3 linked regions of the Canis lupus familiaris genome follow. The protein of the gene in region 2 interacts with the protein of the main gene of each other region in a pairwise test. Links are inferred from orthologs where the notes say so. Each region holds a gene or a part of one and is shown on either strand. Other genes may lie near its edges. The genes, in order: ZBTB44, SMYD1 and FAM204A.

Region 1 (4,172 bases), on a different chromosome or scaffold from region 2:
TCTGCCTGTGTCTCTGCCTTTCTCTCTCTCTCATAAATAAAATATTTTTTAAAAAAGTTAATGAAAGGTCTGCTATGTTAAATCTGAATTTGATATATCACTATGAACTTATGATTCAACAAACAAGCAAAAACCCATTTTTTAGTTCTCTCCTCTGAAAGGGCCTTGAAGCAATGACACTCCAGCAGCAAATGAGTATGTCAACATCCTGATCTTGGTTTTTATATACCATTTCTTATTAAAAACAAAAACAAAAACAAAAAAAACAAACAAAAAAAAAAAACCAAACCAAGACTCCTTAGATCCAGACTCCATTCCAGATATAGAGCAAAGAAAGTAACATGGTAAGCCTAGGGTATGTTGTGCCAGAAAGTACTCCAAGAATGCTCCAATAGCAAGCAGAAGTATTTAACAACAACAACAACAACAACAACAAGACATAGGAGCCAGGTTGAAAGGGTTCCTACTATTCAAATCTGGGACAATCTGGTCAAAAAGAAAATTACTGTAATGGTCATTAAAAAAAAAAAAGAATAAATACATTAAAACCCATGAGTCTATAGTGTATCCTGCAAAAAAAAAAAAAAAAAAAAAAAACCAAGAAAAAAATCTCATTTGCCACCATTGAAGGTAACTATTTCTCCAATCCTTTCTCTGAATATTGATAATCAAAGGGAAGAAATTAAGCATTTACTCTGCATTGTTTAGGAGGAACTTCAGCTTACCCCTAGTTAATGAAGGAAATCTTTTTTACAGAAAATCTCCAGTAAAACTGGTTTAATCAAGAGTCACCAAAGAGTGCTAAAATCACTAAACAGAAAGTAGCCAGAAACAAGATATTTGCTTGGTGTCAAAGTATTATCCCAAGATCACATACAAATCAAAGGGTAAAACAAACTCTTACAGCCGATTTGGTAGTCACCGCTTCAGTGGTCATTTGGCATTACCAACAGTGTAGCAATCTGACATTATATACCTGTTCATGAAGCAATGAGAAGTACACAGTATCACCTATTCAATATTCTTGCCAAATAAAGTTACTACCTCAAGCTAATCAAGTTTTTCCTTAGATCTAACTTCCAGTAACAGAAAAGTCAAGGAGCTAGGGGAATAAATTAAATATCACTATGAGGAAATAGACAAGTCTAGAATGTGGGAGCATTCTAAAAGACAAGTGGTTGGGTCAAGTAAGTGTCAGGAAAAAAAAGGTGATGGGTATTATTTTTAAAAGGGGACTAAAGGCATAATGGTCAAATGCAATAATCTCAAGTGAATACAGAAGGGGTAAATTTTCTCAAGGAGATTTTAGAATAAAGAGGAAATTTGCATATGGATTAATTTAGAAAGGTGTAGATGATGACGTTGAGGAGAAGTATGTCCTTTATTTTTAGGAAATGCATGCTGAAATTAGTCGAGGGTCCCCATGTTTGCAACTTACTTTCAAATGGTTAAAGAGAGACACTAAAAGGGAGGAGTGAGGGGGAACAACCTTACTCACTCCATCTACATAGTGAAATATTCATTATTTCTCAATTTCATGAGACAAATCTTTCGTAATAAAAGTGTCCCTGTGCTGAGCGGCAAGGCAGAAACATTACCCACCTTGGAATTCTATCTGGGTACAGATTTCACTTCTAGCTGTGTGATCTGTTCACCTAGACAAAATTCAAGGAATAACGTCTAAGTCATCAGGTTGCTCTGAGAATTAAATAAGACCACATATGCGAGATGCCTGTGTTGCACAAAATAAGTAAATCTGGTTTCCGCAATCGATGAGTGCTATCGTCCTAAAAAAAACACAAAAGGCTACGGGAAAAAAACATTCCTTTGGTGATTTTCACATTGCGTGATAAGGAAACTCCACTAGGCACAATGAAATATTATTAATGCACTGGCAATGCGAAGCAATGAGGGAAGTGAAGATTTGTATGGTGCTTCTTTTTATGATCATTATTTTCTTAAACCCAATAATTCTAACTCCAAGCCCAGGCCAATGGGAATCAGAAATTTTTTACCTGGCCAGACTATCTGCCCTCTTACCACACCGATTAGTGCGTTTAGGGTATTACCAGTCTATGTCCCAACACACCAACCTGTAAGAGAACAAGTGGGAAACCATTTCTTCCTGACCTCAACAGATTCAATCTACTTATACGGTGTAAAAGGGGAAAAAAACAAAAAACAAAAAACCCACAAACAACTTAAGTTTTTGTCTTCATTCCTTCAAGTTCCAATCGAGTGCACAATGAAGATTCCGGGTGGGAGCCGCACGCAGAGCCCCTCGCATCACCTGTGCTGGACGTGCCAGTTTCACCTGCAGGGAACTCCCCACCCCTTCTCCCCCCCCTCCTTGGCTAGGCCGGCAGAAAGCGACTAGCTATGCGGTGATCCTCAGGTAGGGAAGGAAAAGGGGTGTTTGTTGTTATTCTTTTTTTTTTTTTTTTTCCCCCAAGAGTGCCATCCTTTTCTTTGCAGCGGGGGGGGGGGAGGGAGGTGGATGTGGGTGTGTGTGGGGGGCAGGTCTGGGGCTCGCCAGGTGAGAGCAGGTGACTCCGCCGCCCCCGCGGGTTAGGGGGCGCCCCGGCCGAGCGGGGACACTGCTCCTAGCCGCCCCCCCCGGCTGGTCTCCTCCCTGCAGGAGCGGACGCCGCCGAGGGGGCCCGCGAGCCGGGGCTCTGCGTCCCGCGGCGCGGCCGGGCGGGGGGCGCACCTCCCGCCCCCTCCCCTCCCTCCCTCCTTCCCCCCCTCCCCCTCCCCCTCCCCCTCCCCGGTACCTGGGGGCGGCGGCGCCGGGGCCCGGAGGCCTGCTGCTCCTCCTCCCCGCCAGGCTGAGGCGGCGGCGGCGGCGGCGGCGGCGGCGGCCCGGGGGGAGGGGGCGGAGCGCGGGCCCGCCGCCTCTCTCCTCCCCGGGAGCCGGGGGCCCCTACCTGGGGCCGCCGCGCCCGGGCCCGTGGGCGGCCTGCGGCCGGGGCATGGCGTGCCCGCGAGGGGCGCGAGCGCGAGGCGGCGGCGGCGGCGGCGGCGCAGCCCCCGGGGCGCCCGGCGGGAGGGCCGGCGGCGGCGGCTCGCGGGCGCCCGGCGGGGCGGGGCGGGGGAGGGAAGGGGAGTGAGGGGAGGGGAGGGGGCGGCCGGGAGGGGGCCGGCGCCGCGGCCGCTGCCGCTCCGCTCGCTCCAGCCTGCTCGGGGGCACTTTGTTTGTGTCCCACAATGCCGTGCGCGGGCGGCCGGGCTGGGACCGCGAGGGGAGTGGGCGGGGCGGGGCGAGCCGGGGGCGGGGCGCCGGCGCGGTGGGGGCGGGGCGGGCGCGGCCAGTGCGCAGGCGCCGCGGAGGCCGCTCCCGCTCCGGCTCCCGCTCCCGCTCCCGCTCCCGCTCGCGTTGCCGCTGCCCCTGCCCGGGCCGGAGCGGCGGCCGGCGGGCCCGGCTCTCCCCTCCCGCGGGCGTGTGCGCGCCGGTGTCTGTGCGTGTGCACGCGGCCTTCCGCTCGGCGCCCTCTCCGCCAGCCCCTCCGCGCTTACACTAACGGAGGCATTGCTTCCTTTTTTTAATATTTTATTTATTTGGTCGTCAGAGACGCAGGCAGAGGGAGAAGCAGGCTCCACGCAGGGAGCCCAGTGCGGGGCTCGATCCCGGGACTCCAGGGTCACGCCCTGGGCCGAAGGCAGGTGCTCAACCGCTGAGCCACCCGGGCGTCCCTAACGGACGCATTTCTGGGCATGTTCACGCTTCTTGCTTTTTTTTTTTTTTTCCTTCCCTTTTTTTTTTCTTTCTTTGAACTGAAAACGAAAGAAACTCCTCGTTTCTCGAGTGGTTTTTTTGTAGCGGGGCCGAAACCGGAACACCCAGCCCCGTTTCTCTGGGTGAGGGAGGTGAGCCTGCGCTCCGCCCATTTTTCACACGGGGAAACTGAGGCCCGCGAAGACGCGTGGCCGGACACGTGCGGGACGCCATCGCTGTGCTCGCGGACCACCGGGCCCGCGAACCGCCTCCGGACTGGCATCCTTGCAGGGCTCGGAGAGCGTTCTAGCATCTCCCTGGGCGATCTGGCAGGAAGTGCGGTTCTGAAATGAGTGGAGAAATCAACACCCAGATCTGCCTCATCCCCCCCCCAACACGGGGGCACCTGGAGCTGTTCCCACCAATAGGCCTATTCTTTGCATAACCTTGAGTCTCG
Region 2 (3,527 bases):
TCCAAGTTTCTCTCTCAGCTTCACCCCGCTAAGACTTCAATCCTGGTTGGTCAATGGCCAGGAAAATCTCGGTTACTGTCCAAGTCACACCCACATCACAGGGAATCAGGGCTTGGCAGTGGGGGGTGGGGAGCAGGAGACACTCCTGTGTGTTTTAGAAATAGTTTCAGAACACTTGGAATCCAGACCCTAAAATGAAGCCTCAAGTGGCTAAGGGCAAAGCCCTACCTCTTTGTGCATATTCATCTCATTCTCATATTTACTAAGGGGTTTTGATTCTCTGAGTAGAACCTAAATGGCCTGAACATGGCCCCTTCTTCATAACCCCACACTAACCTGAGGAAACTGGGTATCACCAATCCTAGTCACATAAGACCTGAGTATTCCAGACCATGAGTAAGACCAGCAGCCCCAGAGAGACCTGCACAGATAGGTGAGCAGCCACTTGAGATTTCAGGCACCTGCCACCCTCAGCTCAAACGTAATCTCTTCCATGACATCCTTCCCAATGCATCACACATACACACACATGCACATGCGCCACATACCAGACACATGCCCTCCACTGAAGCCCCCATATAGTTTACCATTGCATTTATTAAGCTTGTTTAATTGTTTACATTTTGCTTCCCCCGCTACATTTGAAGCTTCTTTATCCCTAGGGTGTTCCACCCCATAAATATTTGTAGGATAAGTTGGGCTAGGCTGGGCTGGGATAGAGTTCAATTAAGTTGAACTGAGTTTAAATGAATCAAAATGAACTGAGGAACACAGAACAGTGCATTCCCACAGCCACAAGAGTGAACATTATCCGGCCTTCCTCATCAAGGGTCTTCCCCCAAACCCACCAACTCCAACTTCCCCCAAACCCAAATGTCTCCCCAATTCTCCAGCCATGGTGCCCAGCCCACCACCAGACAGGTCCTCATTGCTTCTTATGGAACAGAGCTGGCGCTGGCTCATTGCTGGGCTCGGCCATGACCTGCATGGGCTGGTTGTTCAGGGCAGCCTCACGCATCTTGTGGTACATGAACTCATTCTGGCGGAACATGCGCAGCTCCATCTCCGTCTGCACCCGCATAGCCTGTGGGACACAGACACACCATAAACAGTGATGACAGGCCACTGGGACATACTGGCTTCTGATCTTCCTTGGCTCTTTTCAAAAGGGCAGACAATGGAGCAAATAACTCCTAGTTACTGAGATTCAGCTGTATCCACTGAGAGGACACACGGACACACACTTATACACACTGACACACACACATACTCATCCTCTAGGGGCCTCAATGTCCTGGGACTGGGCTTGGTTTGTTAGGGAGAGGGAGTCAGACCCCTGAGAGAGGAGCTCAAGGGACTGTTCTCAGCAGAGAATGTTTGTTTGCAGGAACTGGATTTGAATCCTGGATCACACACACATAGGTCCCAACTAACATTGTGGGACTTTAGGCCAGTGACAATCCCTTTAGTGCTCAGTTTCCTCACACATAAATGGGTGAGATTCCTTAATACTTCATAACAGACCAGAAAGATCATAGTGTGTGACACCTAGGAAAATCCCCATGCACCCATATTTCTATTCAAGAAATATTTCTCAAGGGCCAGTCATCATTGATGAATTGAGAATACAGCAGTGAATGATATACTAGGCATAAAGTCAGTCTTCTCAGACACTTTATGACAACAAAGTCTGTCCTCTTTCCCTGTACCATACTGCCTGAGTACAGTCCTTTGAACCCTGTCACCCTCAAATAAACAATGCCCTTCAAAGCACAAAGGAAGCCAGCAATTATAAAGAGCATGCTACTTGCTAGGCACTGTTCTGAGTGCTTTTCACACATTAACTCACTGAACCCTTATCACAGCTCTATCCCTTTTCTCCATTTTACTGATAAGGAGACTCAGGCCCACATATTCCGTGTTTGCACTCACACAGCTGGAGAGTAGTGAATCTGGAGTTCAATCCCAGTAGTCTGATTCCAGAGCCTGTGCTCCCCAGCTCCACTCTACAAAGCACATCTAATGTACATGGCTGCACCCACATTGCTGGGTAGGCTTTCTCCATCCATACTTGGAGCATCTCAGACTTCAAACCTCAGCTGTGCCATCCATTCACTATGTGACTATAGACAGGTTACTCCCCTTCCCAGGGCCTTAGTTTGCTCAGATGTAAAACAAGGGGAGTGGACTAAAGCATTTCTGAATTCCCTTCTGGTTCAGTGGGTAATCTGTGGACTTTGCAAAAGCAGAAACTGGAATCCAGCTCCCACCCTTAGAGAGAGCTTAGACCAGAAAAGGAGGCCCAGCTCTGAAATGCTACTTGCCTCTAAGTCCTTGGTGATGGGGTGGGAGGGTCCATGGGTCACCAGGAGAATGGCATAGGCTTTACAGATCATCCCATGCCCCACCTCAATGTTACCAGCATGCCAGTTGGTCAGCCCTGCCCGCATCACGGCCATGCCCAGTTGGGCATTATTGGGGTGGTAGAGCTTCCTGTGAGGACATAGCAAATCATTGTAACAGATAATCCCAACTTTCCTTACATTTGCACAGCATCTGACGACTTACCAAGTACCCTTACTGACTTGGTCCATCTGCTCTCCCACCAGTGCTGAGGCATCTGCAGCCCATGGAGCAGAAACTGAGCCACAGAGAAAGGGAGGAATTACCAAACACTCCCCAGGGTGAGCCTGTGGGAGTGAGACTCTGCCCTGGGCCAGTAAGCCTAGTCATCATGGGCAAAAGAGTCAGAGGACCCTGCAAGATAACAGGAAGCTGGGAGCTCTCGGGAACACCCCAGCCCTCTTCCTGGAAAGCAGAAGTTCAGGGGAATAAAAAGAACTTCAATGTCCTTCTTGGGACAGAACTGTATTCTCATCTCCTTGAGAATAGCTCCTAACAGAGCTTCCTTCTGCATATTGTACAGTTTTCCTGACTTTTATATATGAGTAATGTTCTCTAAAAAAAAAAAAAAAAAAAAAAAAAAGTAAAAAAGAGCCTGCTTGTACCAACTTACTCTTTTGGCCAAAGAGCCAAAGATACAAAGTCACATGCCAATATAGACATGGAAGGCGAAGGGCTTTGCATTTTGTAAGCAAAGATGCCTGACACTTCTTTTATTTATTTTTATTTTATTTTATTTTAATAAAAGAAAGGTTGCAGGATTGCCTGTGCTAACTGCTAGGGGGACATACCTTTCCAAGCCCTTGAAATCAAGGTGGACTTAGCCGTAAGAAAACCCAAAGCATTGGGACACCTGAGTGGCTCAGCGGTTTGGCACCTGCCTTCAGCCCAGGGTGTAATCCTGGGCTCAAGTCCCACATCAGGCTCCCTGCATGGACCCTGCTTGTGTCTCTGCCTCCCTCTCTCTCTGTCTCTCATGAATAAATAAATAAAATCTTAAAAAAAAAAAAAAAGCAGGATGCCTGGGTGGCTCAGCAGTTGGGTGGCTGCCTTCAGCTCAGGTAGTGATCCCAGAGTCCAGGATCAAGTCCCGCATCAGGCTCCTGCAGGGAGCCTGCTTCTCC
Region 3 (4,444 bases), on a different chromosome or scaffold from region 2:
CTTGATATTAGACTTCTCAACCTTTAGGATGGTAAGAAATTAACTTCTGTTGTTTAAGCCACCCAGTGCGTGGTATTTTGTTATGATAGCATGAGCAGACTAAGACAGTAACTAAGAGGCCCAAATGCAACAGCCATAGCGGCACTTTTATACACATCCTTTCTTTAACTGCCTAACTTGTTAAAGATTTGGATTGGGGGACCCCTGGGTGGCTCGGTGGTTGGGCGTCTGCCTTCCGCCCAGGGTGTGATCCTGGAGTCCCAAGATAGATTCCCACATTGGGCTGCCTGCATGGAGCCTTTTTCTCTCTCTGCCTGTATCTCTGCCTCTCTCTCTCTGTATCTCTCATGAATAAATAAAATCTTTAAAAAAAAAAAAAGATTTGGATTGGGGAAAAATCCTATTGAGAAGCTGGACACAATTGGCCAAGAGAGTTTCACACAGATCCTGAAATCACTCAGACCTGCTTTTTTTTTTTTTTTTTCAAGATTTATTTATCCATGAGAGACACACAGAGAGAGAGGCAGAAACACAGGCAGAAGGAGAAGCAGGCTCCATGCAGGGAGCCTGGTGTGGGACTCGATCCCAGGACTTCAGGATCACCTGAGCCAAAGGCTGATGCTCAACCACTGAGCCACCCAGGTGCCCTCAGACCTGTTTCTATTCTAGAACCTGAGAAGGTCAGCATGAAGGACTTGAGTGACCCAAGGTTGTCAATTCAGGTTCTATTATGATTCTGGGCTTACAGAAAACTACTCCATAAACCTGGCATATCCTTCTGGGACACACTGAGGGTGAGGTAATGAATAGTTACCTAGTAAGCTTAAACATCTGTTTACACTAAATCATGATATATTAGAGTGCAATGCAAAACTCTTTCACATTTTTAGAGTATAGCTAAGACAAAATCACTGTGGTCTAGGCATTATGTTAAGGACTTTATGTGTATTTTATCATCCTCACGAACTGGAAAATAGTATACTTAAAAAAATAGGAAAGTATTTTTAGTCTTATCATTATTACAGAGCACGATTTCAGAAAATAGAAGCATTTCTAAAAATAGCCTGCTCTCTCATCACTATCACATTATCCTGCTTTATATTCTTCATAGCACTTTTTTTTTTCTAGTTTCTTTTTCCTTACTTATTTTCTATGCTCCCCCAAGTCCTGCCCGGGGGCCTGAACCAGTGGCAGTCACAGAAAAGGGGTTCGATGAGCTTTTTAGACAAGGCCCCACATCTGGTCAGTGCAGCAGCTGGTTAGCACCAGGAGAGCAGGAGTCCGGGCTGTTTCTGGCAGGGTGCCTGGTCAATAATTATGTACAGGAGGAAGAAAAAGGAAGGGAGGGAGGAGGGAAAAGGATGAATGAATGGAAATGTTCCCAGAAGAGCCTGGAGAGCATCTACATCGAACTTCCCCTCCTTGGGGGAAATGAACTCAGGTCAAGGGCTAAGCCAGCACTTTCCTCATCCTCAACAGCAGCGAGCAGCAGGGAATGGGGGGTGGGGTGGGTGGGGGGAAACCAAAGCCTTTAAAAAAGGTCCAGAAGAAAAGGGAGGAAACGGTGAAGGAAAAGAAGCAGAAAGAAACGAATCCGCCGCTGCAGACACATCCGAAAGCGGAGCGAAGCGCGGCCGGTTGCCATGACGACCCGAGGCCAGAACGGCCGCAGCCCATTGGCTGAGAAGCCGGAGCCAATGGGGAGGCGCGGTGTTGGCTGGGTCTTAAGATGGCTGCCGGGCGGCCGGCTCCCGACGGGTGAGTACGGCTGATGGGGAGGCCGCTTCCCGGTCGCTCCGAGTCTCCGACCTGACGGGTCCGGGAGGGCCGGGTGCGGGGAGCGAGGGGGCAAGTGTGGGCGGCCTCGCAGCCTCACGGGCGAGCCAGCGAAGCCCCCCCGGCTGGGCTCACGGGAGCGTCGGTGAGGCTGCCCCCCCCCCCCCCCCCGCCCTCTTTGCTGGGAAGGGACGTCTCAGCGTCTTCCCGAGCCTGTTGCGGGGAGAGGGGCTCGCCGTCCCGGCCTGGCCAGAGTGAGACGGCGAGGAGGCTCCAGGGCGGGGGGGAAGCAGGCTCGTGTGGACGGCTGCGGTCGCTGGGACCGGCCGCGGGCCCGACGTCCCGCCCTGACTGTGCGGCGCTTGGTGGTGGGGCCGGGCCGGGCCGGGCGTGTCCCGCTCGGGCTCCGGGCTCCGGGACGGGCAGCCCCGCAGGAAGTACTGTCACGGCGGCATCCGACCTAAAATGAGCCTCGAGGTGTTCCCGGTCAACTGTAAGTCTCTCCGCGCAGGGTCTTTCCAGGCCTTGACCGAACACGTACTTGCATCGCATCGAAACCTGTGCACACGTACAAAATCCTGCCGAACGGGTCCGGAGAATCGGACGGCGGAACTTAAACTGGAGGTCAGGCCTCTGATTCAGTCTCGTAGTTTTTACCTTTTTTTTTTTTTTGAGAAAAAGAGAACACACTTCATGAACAGGACATGGACGCGAATGTTGATGATAACGTGCTTCGTCAAAAGTGAAGTAGTTCCAAGTCACGGAGACTGATTGTTGTGTAAATCATTTCACAGGATTGCCGGGCGGTGGTTTATAAGATTATTATGCAAGTTAGAATTAAATTCACATCAGACCAAACTCAGGTTTCTGTGATGATTCTAGTCGAAGGCGAAAGTATGGGAAATAAGACCGCTTCGTATAGTGAAAGTGGAATTGGAATTGTGGAATATCAGAGACAGGAGACTAAATGACTCAGGTTGGGTTTGGTTATAAGCAGTGGCCTTGATCTTCCAGAAAATGGTGACGTTATTACCCAAACCTCTGAATGTGGTTTTTATGTATACGTTTTCGTATAGCATCTTAACATGACTTTCGGCTTTTTAGAAAGTAAAAAAAAAAAAAAAAAAAAGATTAAGCAGATTTTAACAAAATTACAAGCTAGAGTCATTTCAGATCCACCCTCAAATCTTTGTCTCCAAGAATATATTGCTACTTAAATTGCATCCTCTAAAAGTTTCTAAGTCGAAGCCCATAGAGTTCTGTTTTTGTAAAATAAGCAGATCACAGTCACAGTGCGTTAGGCAAGTCAGTTCCCTCTCCTGTAAAAGGGCTGTAGATAGTAATTTCTAGTGGAAGAGTTATGGGGATTCATGGTAAAAGAATTTCTGTTACATGGTTTGTGACATTGTTTATATGCCATATATAGCATTGACTTGCTTTGTTTTTCTTTCTGGTTCTTTTTTTTTTTTCTGTATAACAGGGGTCTCCTTTGCTTTCTTTAGAGCATCTTTCAGGTGTTTGGTCTGACATGTAGTCTTACTGAAAACTAGAAATCTTGGCTGTGGTGGCAGGATTGAGGAGAGAAGCCTTATCCACTGGGGTATTGGGGTTTAATCAGTATTGCATCTGACTGGTATATCACATCCCTTGAGAATGGCTGAGTAATTTTCAGATTTAAAGGGTAATTTGGGATGATTTGCTTTAGAATAAAGGCATGGGGTGAGAGACATTTCAGAGAATTAGACAATCATCCTTAATAGCAGCCAAAACAGGAGTGAGCGCCAGGCCTAACCTAGTACCATAGTTGGTACCATGGTACGACTGGAAATGTATGCGTGACATATATATACTGTGAATTCAAAGACAGTGTTTCCAAACGTGAGCCCAAAGCAAGTCATAAAGCAGCCACTTGATATTGGCTGATTTACAGTTGAGTTGCTGCTCACGTGGGCAGCTCCACTTTGCAGGCTCCCCCAGTGAGTTATCTTTGTTTATCAGTGGCCATGGAGTTGTCCCTGTGTGTGTGTGTGTTTGTATTTAGAATCACAGGAGAATGGCATATCACTTTAAAGATGTTCGGGAATTGAGTTCAGAAATGTGTTGTCTGAATTTTGCCTTATTTTATGGATTTGGATCTACTTTCTAAAATTTATTTTAATTTTTCTTTTTCCCATGTGCACCCACAAGAAATTATTCTACCAGCCAATGTCATACTGAACAGCTAAATGTCACAGCAACGAGAGCTAAAAATAGATGATTTGGGGAAGGTCTAGAATGTGATTAAAAAGATGCTTGAAAAAAATAGTAAAAAAATAAAAAGATGCTTGAGAGGTGATGGAGAAAGGCAACTCCAGGGCAACCGAGAGTGCTCCCCAGGGTGAAGCACATTTGAGTGGCCAGAGCATAGACACACTCTATAGGGGTATTGAAGCAGTGCTCTAGCAGGAGAACTGTGCCCATCAGAGAGGTGCATGCTTTTCATTAGCAGTCACAATTGAAGTCTGGGTGGAGAGCTATTTGGCTGCTGCTGGACAGAGACGCTTGCCATGTGTGTAGAATGTTGGCTTTATGAAGTTAGATATTTTTGCCTGTCCCCATGTCTTAAAAGAGTGCCTGGCACACAGTGGCCATGCGCAAGATGTTATGGACAGGGAAAAGAAACCATGGT

Evidence for each region.
Region 1: the proteins of SMYD1 (region 2) and ZBTB44 interact in binary tests that used the Homo sapiens proteins (3 or more experiments, as listed by UniProt). The link is inferred for Canis lupus familiaris from reciprocal best matches to the Homo sapiens genes SMYD1 and ZBTB44.
Region 3: the proteins of SMYD1 (region 2) and FAM204A interact in binary tests that used the Homo sapiens proteins (3 or more experiments, as listed by UniProt). The link is inferred for Canis lupus familiaris from reciprocal best matches to the Homo sapiens genes SMYD1 and FAM204A.

The regions. Positions count from the first base shown.
Region 1 is NC_049226.1:4,603,157-4,607,328, reverse strand, and holds the start of ZBTB44 (zinc finger and BTB domain-containing protein 44), read right to left. Parts: upstream 2,869-4,172; 5' UTR 2,775-2,868; intron 1,656-2,774; exon of another isoform or gene 1,603-1,655; intron 1-1,602. UniProt on the Homo sapiens protein: May be involved in transcriptional regulation.
Region 2 is NC_049238.1:38,543,791-38,547,317, forward strand, and holds the end of SMYD1 (histone-lysine N-methyltransferase SMYD1), read right to left. Parts: intron 2,494-3,527; coding exon 2,325-2,493; intron 1,085-2,324; coding exon 926-1,084; 3' UTR 578-925; downstream 1-577. UniProt on the Homo sapiens protein: Methylates histone H3 at 'Lys-4' (H3K4me), seems able to perform both mono-, di-, and trimethylation. Acts as a transcriptional repressor. Essential for cardiomyocyte differentiation and cardiac morphogenesis.
Region 3 is NC_049249.1:29,028,350-29,032,793, reverse strand, and holds the start of FAM204A (protein FAM204A), read left to right. Parts: upstream 1-1,617; 5' UTR 1,618-1,643; coding exon 1,644-1,758; exon of another isoform or gene 1,759-1,808; intron 1,809-2,287; exon of another isoform or gene 2,288-2,400; intron 2,401-4,444.